3 linked regions of the Arabidopsis thaliana genome follow. Each later gene encodes a partner of the first gene's protein in a complex. Each region holds a gene or a part of one and is shown on either strand. Other genes may lie near its edges. A codon is read from its position in the direction of its gene.

Region 1 (6,010 bases):
AACAGGTGGTACAAGAGTGCAAAGAGATATATGAGAACACACTGGTAGATGGTAATCCTCCAAAGACAGGATTTGTATTCCCGAGAGTCAAGTGCTTAACTGCTTCCAAAGGATCTATGTGGCGAAAACTCACTTAATCTGTAAAACAGCGTTCAGCGTTTGCGTCCGTAACTGCTTTTCTAGTTGAGATGATGTTCTTTCTCCAAATTATGGCGTTTGCGTCCATGTCTTCTTTTTCTTTGCATGGTATCTTTCCTCTGTAAATTCTGTGTTTTCTCTTGTTTTGTTCTTTTTCTTACCTTTATTCCTGGATTTGAAAGTTGAAACGCTCGGTGGCCACTTGCACTAGGATATTATCCCGTTGTATTTAGGAGGCGTATTTTTTTGTCGCAAATTTTAATTCTACTGTTTCATTTAATTTTGATAAAATCTTCTTAAAGTTCGTTTCTCTTTCATAACAAGGTAGCTCTTATTGTTTTTAGAATTATTTCTGATTTGTGAAATTTTGAATTTGAAGCATATTTTTATCATGAATATAAAAAATGTTGGGGATTATAAAAAAGTTTGTAAATTCACTCATTGGCAGCTGATTTAGCCACTCACAATATCTAAATAAATAATTGTAAGCATTATCTTGAAATATTTTCTGAAATGACTGTTTCTTTTTTACTTTAATTAAATTTTGTTCTAGAAACCTTTTGATCATAATGAAAATAAAGAGTCCATCCACCACATGGGGTAAGCATAATGTGTGATATTTAAAGGGTAACAAATGTAATCTGCTTTTTATTTTACTTTTTACCTCTACTCAAATTGTATGGGCAGTTTTTTTTTTTTTTTTAAATGATAAGACAAGTATCTGTTTAATGGTATTGTGATGAAACAGTAGTAAAGTCATATCGGGCACGCCATACTACTTCCACAGTGGAACTTGGCCAAATTTTGTCTTTGCCGTCTCTACAGTTTCTTCCACCAAATTTTTTGTTGACAAAACTCAAATCTTTCAATCTCATCTCTGCCAAAGTTGGGTTTAGAAAGAATATCAGCAAACACTAATATCTTTATTGTTGCATGGTTTATCAATCACAAAATTCACAACCATTGTAAAAAAAAATTCACATTTTTGGTATGAGATTGCTCACATGATAGTGAACCTCTTTAACATTTTAACTTTACTTTCATAAATACGGGATTACGAATCTTACTTGCATTAAAAATTTAGAAAAGGTTTTTCTACTTAAAGAAAAAAGGGACCCAACAGAGAGAGGTTTGACCAGGAGAAACGGGTGCATAGCCTTAAGAGCTTTCAACTACTTTACCCCAAACCCAAAGCGATGTCACTTTCAACCATCTCTTCTCTCCCCCGAACCCGTTTTTTTGACCGGTCAGTTCGGGCAGCAGCACCGTTACGGGCAGCTTATATTCCTCGTCTTCCTCCTCTACACCACTGCATGCCCATAAATAAAGCCCGTTGAGATCTTTAAAAATATTAAATAATATATCAACGAAAAAGCTATTTTATTCATAAGAAGAAAAAGAGAGGAACAACAACAACACACTAATCATAGTTTCTCTGGCAGGCTTGTTGTTGCGGCTTAATAAAAAGCTCTTTTGTTATTATTACTTCACGTAGATTTTCCCCAAAAAGCTCTTATTTTTTTGTTTAAAAAAAAAAGTTTCATCTTTATTCAACTTTTGTTTTACAGTGTGTGTGTGAGAGAGAGAGTGTGGTTTGATTGAGGAAAGACGACGACGAGAACGCCGGAGAATTAGGATTTTGATTTTATTTTTTACTCTTTGTTTGTTTTAATGCTAATGGGTTTTTAAAAGGGTTATCGAAAAAATGAGTGAGTTTGTGTTGAGGTTGTCTCTGTAAAGTGTTAATGGTGGTGATTTTCGGAAGTTAGGGTTTTCTCGGATCTGAAGAGATCAAATCAAGATTCGAAATTTAGCATTGTTGTTTGAAATGGAGTCGAGTTATGTGGTGTTTATCTTACTTTCACTGATCTTACTTCCGAATCATTCACTGTGGCTTGCTTCTGCTAATTTGGAAGGTTCGTGGTTACTCAATTACTCAGCTTTACTCGTTTCTCAATTACTTTCTCGATTCTTTTTTATTTGGAGGTGAATCGCTATCTTTAGTGTCTGCATTTTGATTTATGAAAATTGTTGTTGTTCTTTGTATTTGTAAGATTTAGTGGCTAGTACTTTGAATACACTGTTTTGCTTTTCTTGTTCAGATCAACTTTGTATATTGTAAAGGCATGTTCTTTGGGTTGAAAAGCTGGGTTATTTGATATCTTAAGATTGATGTTGTTGATCCAAACATTCTCTGAAAGACTTCATTTGTTTTTGGTTTTGTAAAGAATTTGTTTAATTATTAGCCTCTAATCTCAGAGAGGCCTGTTTGAATAGTTCTCTCTTGAAATTAGACTTTTCACCAATTGATGCTAATTGTGTAGATTTGTTGTTCTTGTTATAGGTGATGCTTTGCATACTTTGAGGGTTACTCTAGTTGATCCAAACAATGTCTTGCAGAGCTGGGATCCTACGCTAGTGAATCCTTGCACATGGTTCCATGTCACTTGCAACAACGAGAACAGTGTCATAAGAGTGTAAAGCTTTCTTCTACTAATCCCACTTTTTAAACTTTGACCTCAGCGTGGTTACCGACATTTTTGTTTCTTTTGTCAAATACAGTGATTTGGGGAATGCAGAGTTATCTGGCCATTTAGTTCCAGAGCTTGGTGTGCTCAAGAATTTGCAGTATTTGTAAGTTCCACTTATGCATCATGCTTTAACAAAACAAATCCAAGATTTGACAGAAGAAGCACTGGAGTTACCTTTTGTAATTGAAATCTTTTTAACAAGTTTCTTATTTTCTTACAGGGAGCTTTACAGTAACAACATAACTGGCCCGATTCCTAGTAATCTTGGAAATCTGACAAACTTAGTGAGTTTGGATCTTTACTTAAACAGCTTCTCCGGTCCTATTCCGGAATCATTGGGAAAGCTTTCAAAGCTGAGATTTCTGTGAGTATACATATGCTTTACCGGCTCAGTTACAGTCTTTGTTTAATCTTAGGTTTTGTTCCAATTTTTGACTCTTTGCTGAAAATTTTACATGCAAGAATAGCCGGCTTAACAACAACAGTCTCACTGGGTCAATTCCTATGTCACTGACCAATATTACTACCCTTCAAGTGTTGTGAGTCCTCTCATTAACTTTCATTTATGTCTACTTCATTCTCCCTCAGTTGATTTGTTGAGTTAATGCACTTAACCTTGATGGATGCAACACAGAGATCTATCAAATAACAGACTCTCTGGTTCAGTTCCTGACAATGGCTCCTTCTCACTCTTCACACCCATCAGGTTCTATGATTTATCCTCTTCAGTTATTTCAGTTGTTGTGTCAGTGTCTGAACTTATTCTGAAACTTTCATTTCCTTGTGCAGTTTTGCTAATAACTTAGACCTATGTGGACCTGTTACAAGTCACCCATGTCCTGGATCTCCCCCGTTTTCTCCTCCACCACCTTTTATTCAACCTCCCCCAGTTTCCACCCCGAGTAAGCCTCCTCTTTTTAGTTTACATTATAGGAAACAGAAGATGAAATCTTTGCTTCTCTGTCAATCCTTTTTCTCATATAACTCATCTTGCCAATAAGGCAATAACCAAATGATCTAATTTGATTTCAGGTGGGTATGGTATAACTGGAGCAATAGCTGGTGGAGTTGCTGCAGGTGCTGCTTTGCTCTTTGCTGCTCCTGCAATAGCCTTTGCTTGGTGGCGACGAAGAAAGCCACTAGATATTTTCTTCGATGTCCCTGGTGAGTTTATTATTCGCATTAGTTTCTGTTCTTAGCCAGCAATTTTGTTTTGCAGAAAAGTATTGGAACAACTGTTAATGAAAATCAATACATAAGTCATTGTTTTTTAAGTTACAAACTCTTTTGAGTAAAATCTCGATTGCAAAATCTCTTTGCAGCCGAAGAAGATCCAGAAGTTCATCTGGGACAGCTCAAGAGGTTTTCTTTGCGGGAGCTACAAGTGGCGAGTGATGGGTTTAGTAACAAGAACATTTTGGGCAGAGGTGGGTTTGGGAAAGTCTACAAGGGACGCTTGGCAGACGGAACTCTTGTTGCTGTCAAGAGACTGAAGGAAGAGCGAACTCCAGGTGGAGAGCTCCAGTTTCAAACAGAAGTAGAGATGATAAGTATGGCAGTTCATCGAAACCTGTTGAGATTACGAGGTTTCTGTATGACACCGACCGAGAGATTGCTTGTGTATCCTTACATGGCCAATGGAAGTGTTGCTTCGTGTCTCAGAGGTAAAAACTAAACATCTTGTGCTCTCTCTCAATTACTTTGACGTGAAGTGTTTTTTCATGTTTTCCTTTATGGGTTCATAATTGTTGGTTACACTAATGACACAGAGAGGCCACCGTCACAACCTCCGCTTGATTGGCCAACGCGGAAGAGAATCGCGCTAGGCTCAGCTCGAGGTTTGTCTTACCTACATGATCACTGCGATCCGAAGATCATTCACCGTGACGTAAAAGCAGCAAACATCCTCTTAGACGAAGAATTCGAAGCGGTTGTTGGAGATTTCGGGTTGGCAAAGCTAATGGACTATAAAGACACTCACGTGACAACAGCAGTCCGTGGCACCATCGGTCACATCGCTCCAGAATATCTCTCAACCGGAAAATCTTCAGAGAAAACCGACGTTTTCGGATACGGAATCATGCTTCTAGAACTAATCACAGGACAAAGAGCTTTCGATCTCGCTCGGCTAGCTAACGACGACGACGTCATGTTACTTGACTGGGTAATAACAACATAAAACTTCCATTTGACCCCAACAAAAACCATTGAAACGAGAATCTAATCTCAAATACTTGTTTGTTGGTTTAGGTGAAAGGATTGTTGAAGGAGAAGAAGCTAGAGATGTTAGTGGATCCAGATCTTCAAACAAACTACGAGGAGAGAGAACTGGAACAAGTGATACAAGTGGCGTTGCTATGCACGCAAGGATCACCAATGGAAAGACCAAAGATGTCTGAAGTTGTAAGGATGCTGGAAGGAGATGGGCTTGCGGAGAAATGGGACGAATGGCAAAAAGTTGAGATTTTGAGGGAAGAGATTGATTTGAGTCCTAATCCTAACTCTGATTGGATTCTTGATTCTACTTACAATTTGCACGCCGTTGAGTTATCTGGTCCAAGGTAAAAAAAAAAAACATAAAATTATTGAACAATAACAAATTTTACAAGGTAGGTAGTTTTTTTACCCGTAAGTTTTCGTTTTTTTTAATTGTTAATGTAAAATGAAATCTAGCATTCAAAGATTTGTGATTTTGTGCTATGGTTCGATTAAAAGGGAAAAAAATTGTAATCTAAAGATTTGTGTAAGATTACTGTCTATTGTATGAAGTATGAACTATGAACACAATATATGTACATCCAAAAATACGTTAAACTAACTCCGCTGTTTTGCTACAAAAACCCTTTCAATTTTGTTCTACTAAACGTCGTTAGAATACACAAAAGCGAAACAGCGTCGTTTATTTATAATGCGCTACTCACATGACGCCGTTTCACTTTTGTGTATACAAACGACGTCGTTTAATAGAAAAATTTTTGGAAGGGTTTTTGTTGGGAAAAAAAGAGAAGAAGGGTTTTTGTACTTTGTGTCTTCTTGTTCCATCATCGTGACACGTCACACCTCCATTCATCTCCGCCGTCCTCTTCCTGTTCTTAGTCGCGGCTGGAAAAAACTGTGGTGAGAGAGAGAAGAAGAAGAAGAAGAAGATGAGTAATAATACTAATAATACAGAGATGAATAATCTAGCGATGGAAGAAGAGGATGAAGGAGAGATTTTCCTTGGTGAATCCGATGTCCTCCGTGAAATCGATGTCGACGAAGAAGGTTTTTTTTTATCTCCTTCAATCGTGATTTTTTTATCGTATGTATATATGTGTATGTGTATGTGACTCTTCTATTTT
Region 2 (3,350 bases), about 18 Mb from region 1:
GGCAATAAGAAGAAGAGGTTGGTGGATCAGAGAAAGATGATGGCTCAGAAACATAAGCAACAACAACAAGTTGGTTGCAGAGAATGTGGTAGAGTGTTCGTTTCTTTGAAAGCTCTTAGAGGTCACATGGCTTGTCACGGTGAGGTAAAGAAGATGTTGATGGATGATAATAGCCAATCTGATACTGAAAGTGAGACTTCCTCAGCTCCTATGAGGAAAAGATCCAAGAGGGTGGTCATGAAACAATCAAATTCTGAATCTTTGAGTAATGGGAGCTCGTCTTTTGGTTCTGAGATTGACCAAGAACGTAGGGATGGGGCTTATAATTTGATGATGTTGTCGAGTGATTCTAGTAGTTTCAAGAAAAGACGTAACATGGTGATGAATTCTCTTGGTGAGTCATCTGACAACAACTCTGCGATTGTTGAGAATAAGTCATCTTCAGGGGATGAGTTTAAGATCATGAATGTGAAGAATGCAGTAGATGACCAATGGAGATCTGCTGATGATGATGGAGTTAGTCTCTGTGATTCAGATGGCTCTGATTCTGATTACTTCATGAATGGTCCAAGTAAGTCGGAGTCAGACATTTCTGTTGACAGGAACACTGGATTTGGATCTGGATTCAACAACTCATTGATCAGGTTCAGGAATAGTAATGAGGGAGGAACAAAGTATGAGCTGAGCAAAAGCAAGAGAGCCTTGTTTTCTTATGAAACTGATTCATGTGCAGACACAAACAGCAAGATTCATCATAGGTTCAAAGATAGCAAATCCTCAATGGTTAAGAAAGAAGGTGGTGAGAAGGTGAAGAGCAAAGGTCATGAGTGCCCAATTTGCTTCAGGATGTTCAAATCAGGCCAAGCTTTAGGTGGTCACAAGAGATCACATTCCATTGCAAACCACGCAGCTGAAATGCGTAACCAAATCGATCTCTATCTTCCTGTTTCGGATACTGATGAATGAATCAGAACCTGAGAACTATAGTTCTCTCTGATAGTATTTCATCCCCACTTTTTGTTTGTTTTCTTTGCTCCACATTTTAGAACTAGATCAAAAGTTTTTTTTGATTTGTTCATATAAAGTTTGCTTATCACTTAGAGCCAATTCTTTGCTTTATGAACTCAAGTATTGATGTATATATTATCTTCAGCTTTTTAGGGACCTTTCATGTTTCTTACTGATTACTGAGATTCATTCTTCTTGTCTTCAAAGAAAGCTGTTACTTTTAAAGTTTTTTTTTCCTTTTTCGAGCTTTCACCTATAAGACTTCCTCTGTATTCATATTAGCACAATCAAAGTCAAGACTACAAGAGCCATTGTCTATTGCTTTTATGATGATGTTTTGGTTCTAACATAAAAAGGGAGAGAGTTGTGTTCAAGTTAAAGTTGTTGATTCAATTGAAAGGAGGAAAAGCAAAATAAATAAATCCCAAATTTGGTAACTTTACTAATTTATAGGTAGTTGGGTTTAGATAGACTCCTATTGGGCCTGTTAAGGCCTTTAAACTATAGAAGCCGATAAAGACCCAGGAGTTAACTTGAGAGTCACGAAACCACTCAAATACACGTTCTTGTTTATCTTGTGTACGTAATTACTACATAAACCCATTATTTTGTACGTATAACGTATTGTATGAAAAAGCTAAAGAAAGTGAAATAAATCTAGGATCGAAATGTATATAATAAAGTTCACGGGTTGGTATTTATGTCAATGAAAACGAACTAAGCGAAGGACCCACTTTTTTTTGTATAACCAGTTTTGCCCTCTCATTTACTAAAACTAACCGTCATAACATCGATTCATGTGCTTCTTCTGTGTTGCATTTATATCCCAATTTGCTTCCACCAAATATCTTCCCTCTCTCGATTTTAAACTTCTTCTTCTCCAAGACCACTTCTCACTTTCTCTCTCTCGCTCTCTCTTGGAAACCAAAACAATGACGATGACTCACCTGAATCGTCTGATCTTGATCTCTCTTCTCTTCGTCTCTTTACTTCTCAAATCCTCCACCGCTTCTTCAACCGTCGTCGACGAAGGAAACAGAACATCAAGAAACTTCCGTTACCGAACGCACCGATTCGTTCCGAGGTTTAACCACCACCCTTACCACGTGACTCCTCACCGTTCGTGTGATTCCTTCATTCGTCCTTACGCGCGTTCTATGTGCATTGAGCTTCAGAGAATCCACCGTAGCAGTCGGAAGCAGCCACTTCTTTCTCCTCCTCCTCCGGAGATTGATCCAAGGTACGGCGTCGACAAAAGACTCGTCCCCTCTGGTCCAAACCCGCTTCACAACTAAAACCATATCCTCAAGTTTCTATACATACATATATACAGAAACATTTGTCACATATTTTCTAATTTAACTCGTTTCTCGGATTTGTTCGAGAGAGATTTGTGTACTTTATAGCTAGAGTTATTTTGGCCCAAGAAGATGGTTCGTTAGTTCTTCTTGGTCTTCTTTGCGGAAATTTCTTATTTCTACTTTCTTGATCTTGTAATGGAGTCTTGCGTTATGGTAATATTGTAACTAAGCTATTTCCACGCTTGTTTTTGGGCTTTGTAGTGTGAAAACAATCTTGGAAATAGTGTATTTTTGCAAGGGACTTTCTTTTGTTTTTCTAATGAGAAAATGATAAATTATAGTTTTGAAAGCGAAAGGAGAAAAAAAGATTTAGTATGGTTGGGAGAGGAGAGGTGAAGAAACGCATGAGCTCCATTAATTTGGGAGCTGTATTTATGTAACTCTAAAGTTTCCATTGGTCTATCAATAAAAATTTAAAAAGGTTGATGGGGCATATATATGTTATGTTCTTCTCTTTCGTGTGATATTTCGCTGTAAAGATATTTATTTCGCTTGTCTCTGTCAATAGACAATAGTAAAAACTTTGCAAATATAGAAACTTTTATTTATAATTTTGCCAACCAGATTTTCCTTTATCATTTTGCCAGCCAAATTTTTTATGTCTACTCATTTTTACAAATGTGGCACCGTCCACCATGTACGTGTTATCATCCGATTTAATCAACGGATTATAAGTTGTAGAAAATATTATTTATTACTCTTTATGAAAAGGAAAGTTATGAAAGAAAATGTATATATCTTAATGTTTATCGCCAAATTTATGGGATAAAAGTGTTTTAAGATGAGATGATGAATATAGTGCAAGCCTGGCAAAACAGAAAAGGAAACAAGAAGCAAAATTGGAGGGGAAAAAAATAATCTTTATAGAGTAAAATAGAAATAACTTGAATGCATTTTTGGTATAAGATGAATCAGAAAAAGTTATAATTTTTGTTTGTAACTTGTGAATTTCGAGTATTTTATCTAGTACATATCACTTTT
Region 3 (2,755 bases), on another chromosome or scaffold:
AATGAAATAACGTTTCTTTTAGTGAAGAATTGCGCTTAAGTTTTTGGCGGAGGGTAATTGTATTGCAAAAGTCACTAAACTTTAGAGAGAAGCATTTAACCTTTCGGATTACAAAAAAATACTGTGACAATAAAAAAAAAAAATCAATGAGAATGATGCATTGGAGAAAACGTGTATGAACAGATGGTCGGTAAAAAAAAAAAAAAAAACGTGTATGAACAGATGGTCGGTAATTAGCACGAAAATCGCTTTGGTTGTAATTTGTAATAGTACTATTTTATACTCGTATATTTTCAACAGTGTTGTTACAGTAACGCTAAGGAACTAGCCTGGACAAGCTTTTACATCTCATTTACTGTTGTTGTTCTGACACAACTACTGTTGTTGCCTTTTATGTTCGGTTTCCTTCGTTCTTCTAAGTTCTGACATCTTGTTCGTACAAAGGGGTCTCATCGTCATTATTCTCTGCCTTCAATATATATGCCGCAAAAGAGGATGCAACTCAAAAGTGTCCACTAAAGCTACGGTCTTTAAGTTGATGATTACGTTAAGGAAGATGTCCAAGAAATAAAAAGTTGATGTCTTGATGATGACTAAAATTTAGAATTGGTTGATCCGGTCTTGCGGTGCAGTAGTTGTATTGCCTGGTCGTTAAGTCACGTTACGTTTTAGCTCGAACTTGTTTTACGTAAAGGATAGATCTAGGAAATATAGAAACTTTTTTATGCATATGCGCGTGGTTTGCTCAATCAATTGTAAGAGATTGCAAGGATAGAATACACTATAGTATTATCAAACTGATATGAAATTATTTTATTTTGTCGTCAAGTAATATGAATTATATTTTTTTCACATAACATGAAATGAAAAGGCTTGACCTTGACCCACCACTAATTATTTTTCTTTCGTTTTCTTCTCTTTGTCCCCTCTCACTTTCACTCCACAGAGAGGATTAATTGATAATATATTATAGAAACAAATGTGAAATGTATTTTAAATTGAAAGTAAACTAAAAATCTTGACAATGTTAATAACCTGTAATCCTAATGGTCAATGCTAAAACCGTTATTATATGATCAGACATGGTCAAACCCACATAATACATGTTATTTCAAACGCAAAATTAGAAATATCATAAATATGCAATAGTACTTATACGTGAACCTAATTAAAGACAGCTATAAAGGAGTCTTCCTCCAACTTTTTTTGTCTTGTGGGTCATATCAAGAGCTATGAAGAGACGTTATTGTTTTTGCCCAACAACGTTTTTTACGCATTCCAATATGAGATCATGTTCAGAAATAGTTAATTTAAACTCAAGTGAAGGTAGTATAGGGGTAAAACATCTTGTGTCTCCAATTTGATTTAGTATGTTTTGAATAATGTAATTACTACGTAAATATCCATGATTAACTAGATTTAGGTTTAGTGCATGGTTTTCCTTAATAAGAGAGATAAGAATAGAACCATATGAGTAAATAAAAAGAAACATACAAATAGAACCATAAGTCAACATCTTTCCAATCAAAATCTCTCTCTCTTGATGTGCCCATATTTCTAGCTGTCAACAATTCACAGCCTTCTCTTTTTCATTCAATCACCCATCAACAAAAAAATAAAACCTTTTAAATATTAAATACTTCCACCCAAAACTCCTTCAAACAAAAATCACTTCCCTCCCTCCATCTCTCTCTATTCACTCTCCCAATTTACACCAATGTCTTCTCGAAGCCACCGATCAAGAAAATATCAACTCACGAGAACAATTCCTATTCTTGTTCTTCTTCTTGTCCTTTTGAGTTGCTGCAATGGAGCAAGAACCACGAACGTCTTCAACACAAGCTCGCCACCCAAACAAAAGGACGTCGTTTCGCCACCTCATGATCATGTCCATCATCAAGTACAAGATCACAAAAGTGTACAGTTCTTGGGGTCCCTGCCACGTCAGTTTCCGGTTCCAACTTCTGGTCCTTCCAGAAAACATAACGAAATCGGTTTAAGTAGTACTAAGACTTAATCTTCACCTTGTAGTTCAAAGGTTTGATTAATGAATCATCCTTTTTACTTCTGTAAGTTTTTTTTGTTTTAGTTTTTGCCCCTTTTGAATTTGGTTCAAACTGATGTAAATAGATTTCAGTTTGATTTATTTATGGGCAATGCTGTGGATACGATCAAATTTTTTAGTTTAATATTGGAACTTGTTTGATCCATTGAAATATTGCAAGTACGTAAGAGCATCCACATTGGTGGTTATTTATACATGTCTTTAAATATAAAACTATAAAAAATAATAATAATAAAATAATGAATGTCTTTAATTTGAGATTTGTGTCTTCCTAAAGACACTTTATACACAACAAAAGTGAAATGTCTTTAATTTTATTATTTATTTATACTAAAAACATATATAAAAAGTTGTCTACTCTAAGTGTACAAGAGCCGAGGATAGAAGGGTCGGTTTCTAATTAAACAATTATTGTTCTTTTTATTTTCCGTCTTCTAATTTGATATATATGAAATTATATATCATATGTTCACTGTATCCTAATCGTGGATTATTACGGACATAATGATAATTGTTGAGATATATACAAGTCCCGATCAATTTAGGCTACATCTGTTTGGTAGAATATTGATGGATATAAGCCGAGTAGTGATTTCAATATTTTATATCCACTCTCTTCTTATAAGTTATGGTAATAACAAATAGAAGGTTATTCTACATATACTAGTATTTGAGTTGGTGTTTAAATAC

Evidence for each region.
Region 2: the proteins of SERK1 (region 1) and CLE9 are in contact, whole or in part, in a crystal structure (PDB 7OGU), measured with the Arabidopsis thaliana proteins. Residues at the interface, in NP_177328.1 of Arabidopsis thaliana: Asp51 (codon at 2,545), Thr53 (codon at 2,551), Leu54 (codon at 2,554), Val55 (codon at 2,557), Thr59 (codon at 2,569); in NP_564251.1 of Arabidopsis thaliana: Pro117, Leu118, His119, Asn120.
Region 3: the proteins of SERK1 (region 1) and IDL3 are in contact, whole or in part, in a crystal structure (PDB 7OGZ), measured with the Arabidopsis thaliana proteins. Residues at the interface, in NP_177328.1 of Arabidopsis thaliana: Asp51 (codon at 2,545), Thr53 (codon at 2,551), Leu54 (codon at 2,554), Val55 (codon at 2,557); in NP_001318520.1 of Arabidopsis thaliana: Arg87 (codon at 1,976), Lys88 (codon at 1,979), His89 (codon at 1,982), Asn90 (codon at 1,985).

Annotation. Positions count from the first base shown.
Region 1 is NC_003070.9:27,016,609-27,022,618, forward strand, and holds SERK1 (somatic embryogenesis receptor-like kinase 1), read left to right. Parts: upstream 1-1,549; 5' UTR 1,550-1,966; coding exon 1,967-2,054; intron 2,055-2,482; coding exon 2,483-2,615; intron 2,616-2,700; coding exon 2,701-2,772; intron 2,773-2,889; coding exon 2,890-3,033; intron 3,034-3,136; coding exon 3,137-3,208; intron 3,209-3,303; coding exon 3,304-3,375; intron 3,376-3,458; coding exon 3,459-3,571; intron 3,572-3,701; coding exon 3,702-3,833; intron 3,834-3,991; coding exon 3,992-4,333; intron 4,334-4,438; coding exon 4,439-4,833; intron 4,834-4,919; coding exon 4,920-5,234; 3' UTR 5,235-5,509; downstream 5,510-6,010. Other genes in the region: SEC6, read left to right, coding at 6-137; AT1G71840 (transducin family protein / WD-40 repeat family protein), read left to right, coding at 5,816-5,933. UniProt on the Arabidopsis thaliana protein: Dual specificity kinase acting on both serine/threonine- and tyrosine-containing substrates. Phosphorylates BRI1 on 'Ser-887' and CDC48 on at least one threonine residue and on 'Ser-41'. Confers embryogenic competence.
Region 2 is NC_003070.9:9,189,744-9,193,093, forward strand, and holds CLE9 (CLAVATA3/ESR-RELATED 9), read left to right. Parts: upstream 1-1,759; 5' UTR 1,760-1,805; coding exon 1,806-2,303; 3' UTR 2,304-2,847; downstream 2,848-3,350. Other genes in the region: AT1G26590 (C2H2-like zinc finger protein), read left to right, coding at 1-966.
Region 3 is NC_003076.8:3,045,501-3,048,255, forward strand, and holds IDL3 (inflorescence deficient in abscission (IDA)-like 3), read left to right. Parts: upstream 1-1,510; 5' UTR 1,511-1,717; coding exon 1,718-2,017; 3' UTR 2,018-2,253; downstream 2,254-2,755. UniProt on the Arabidopsis thaliana protein: May be involved in floral abscission.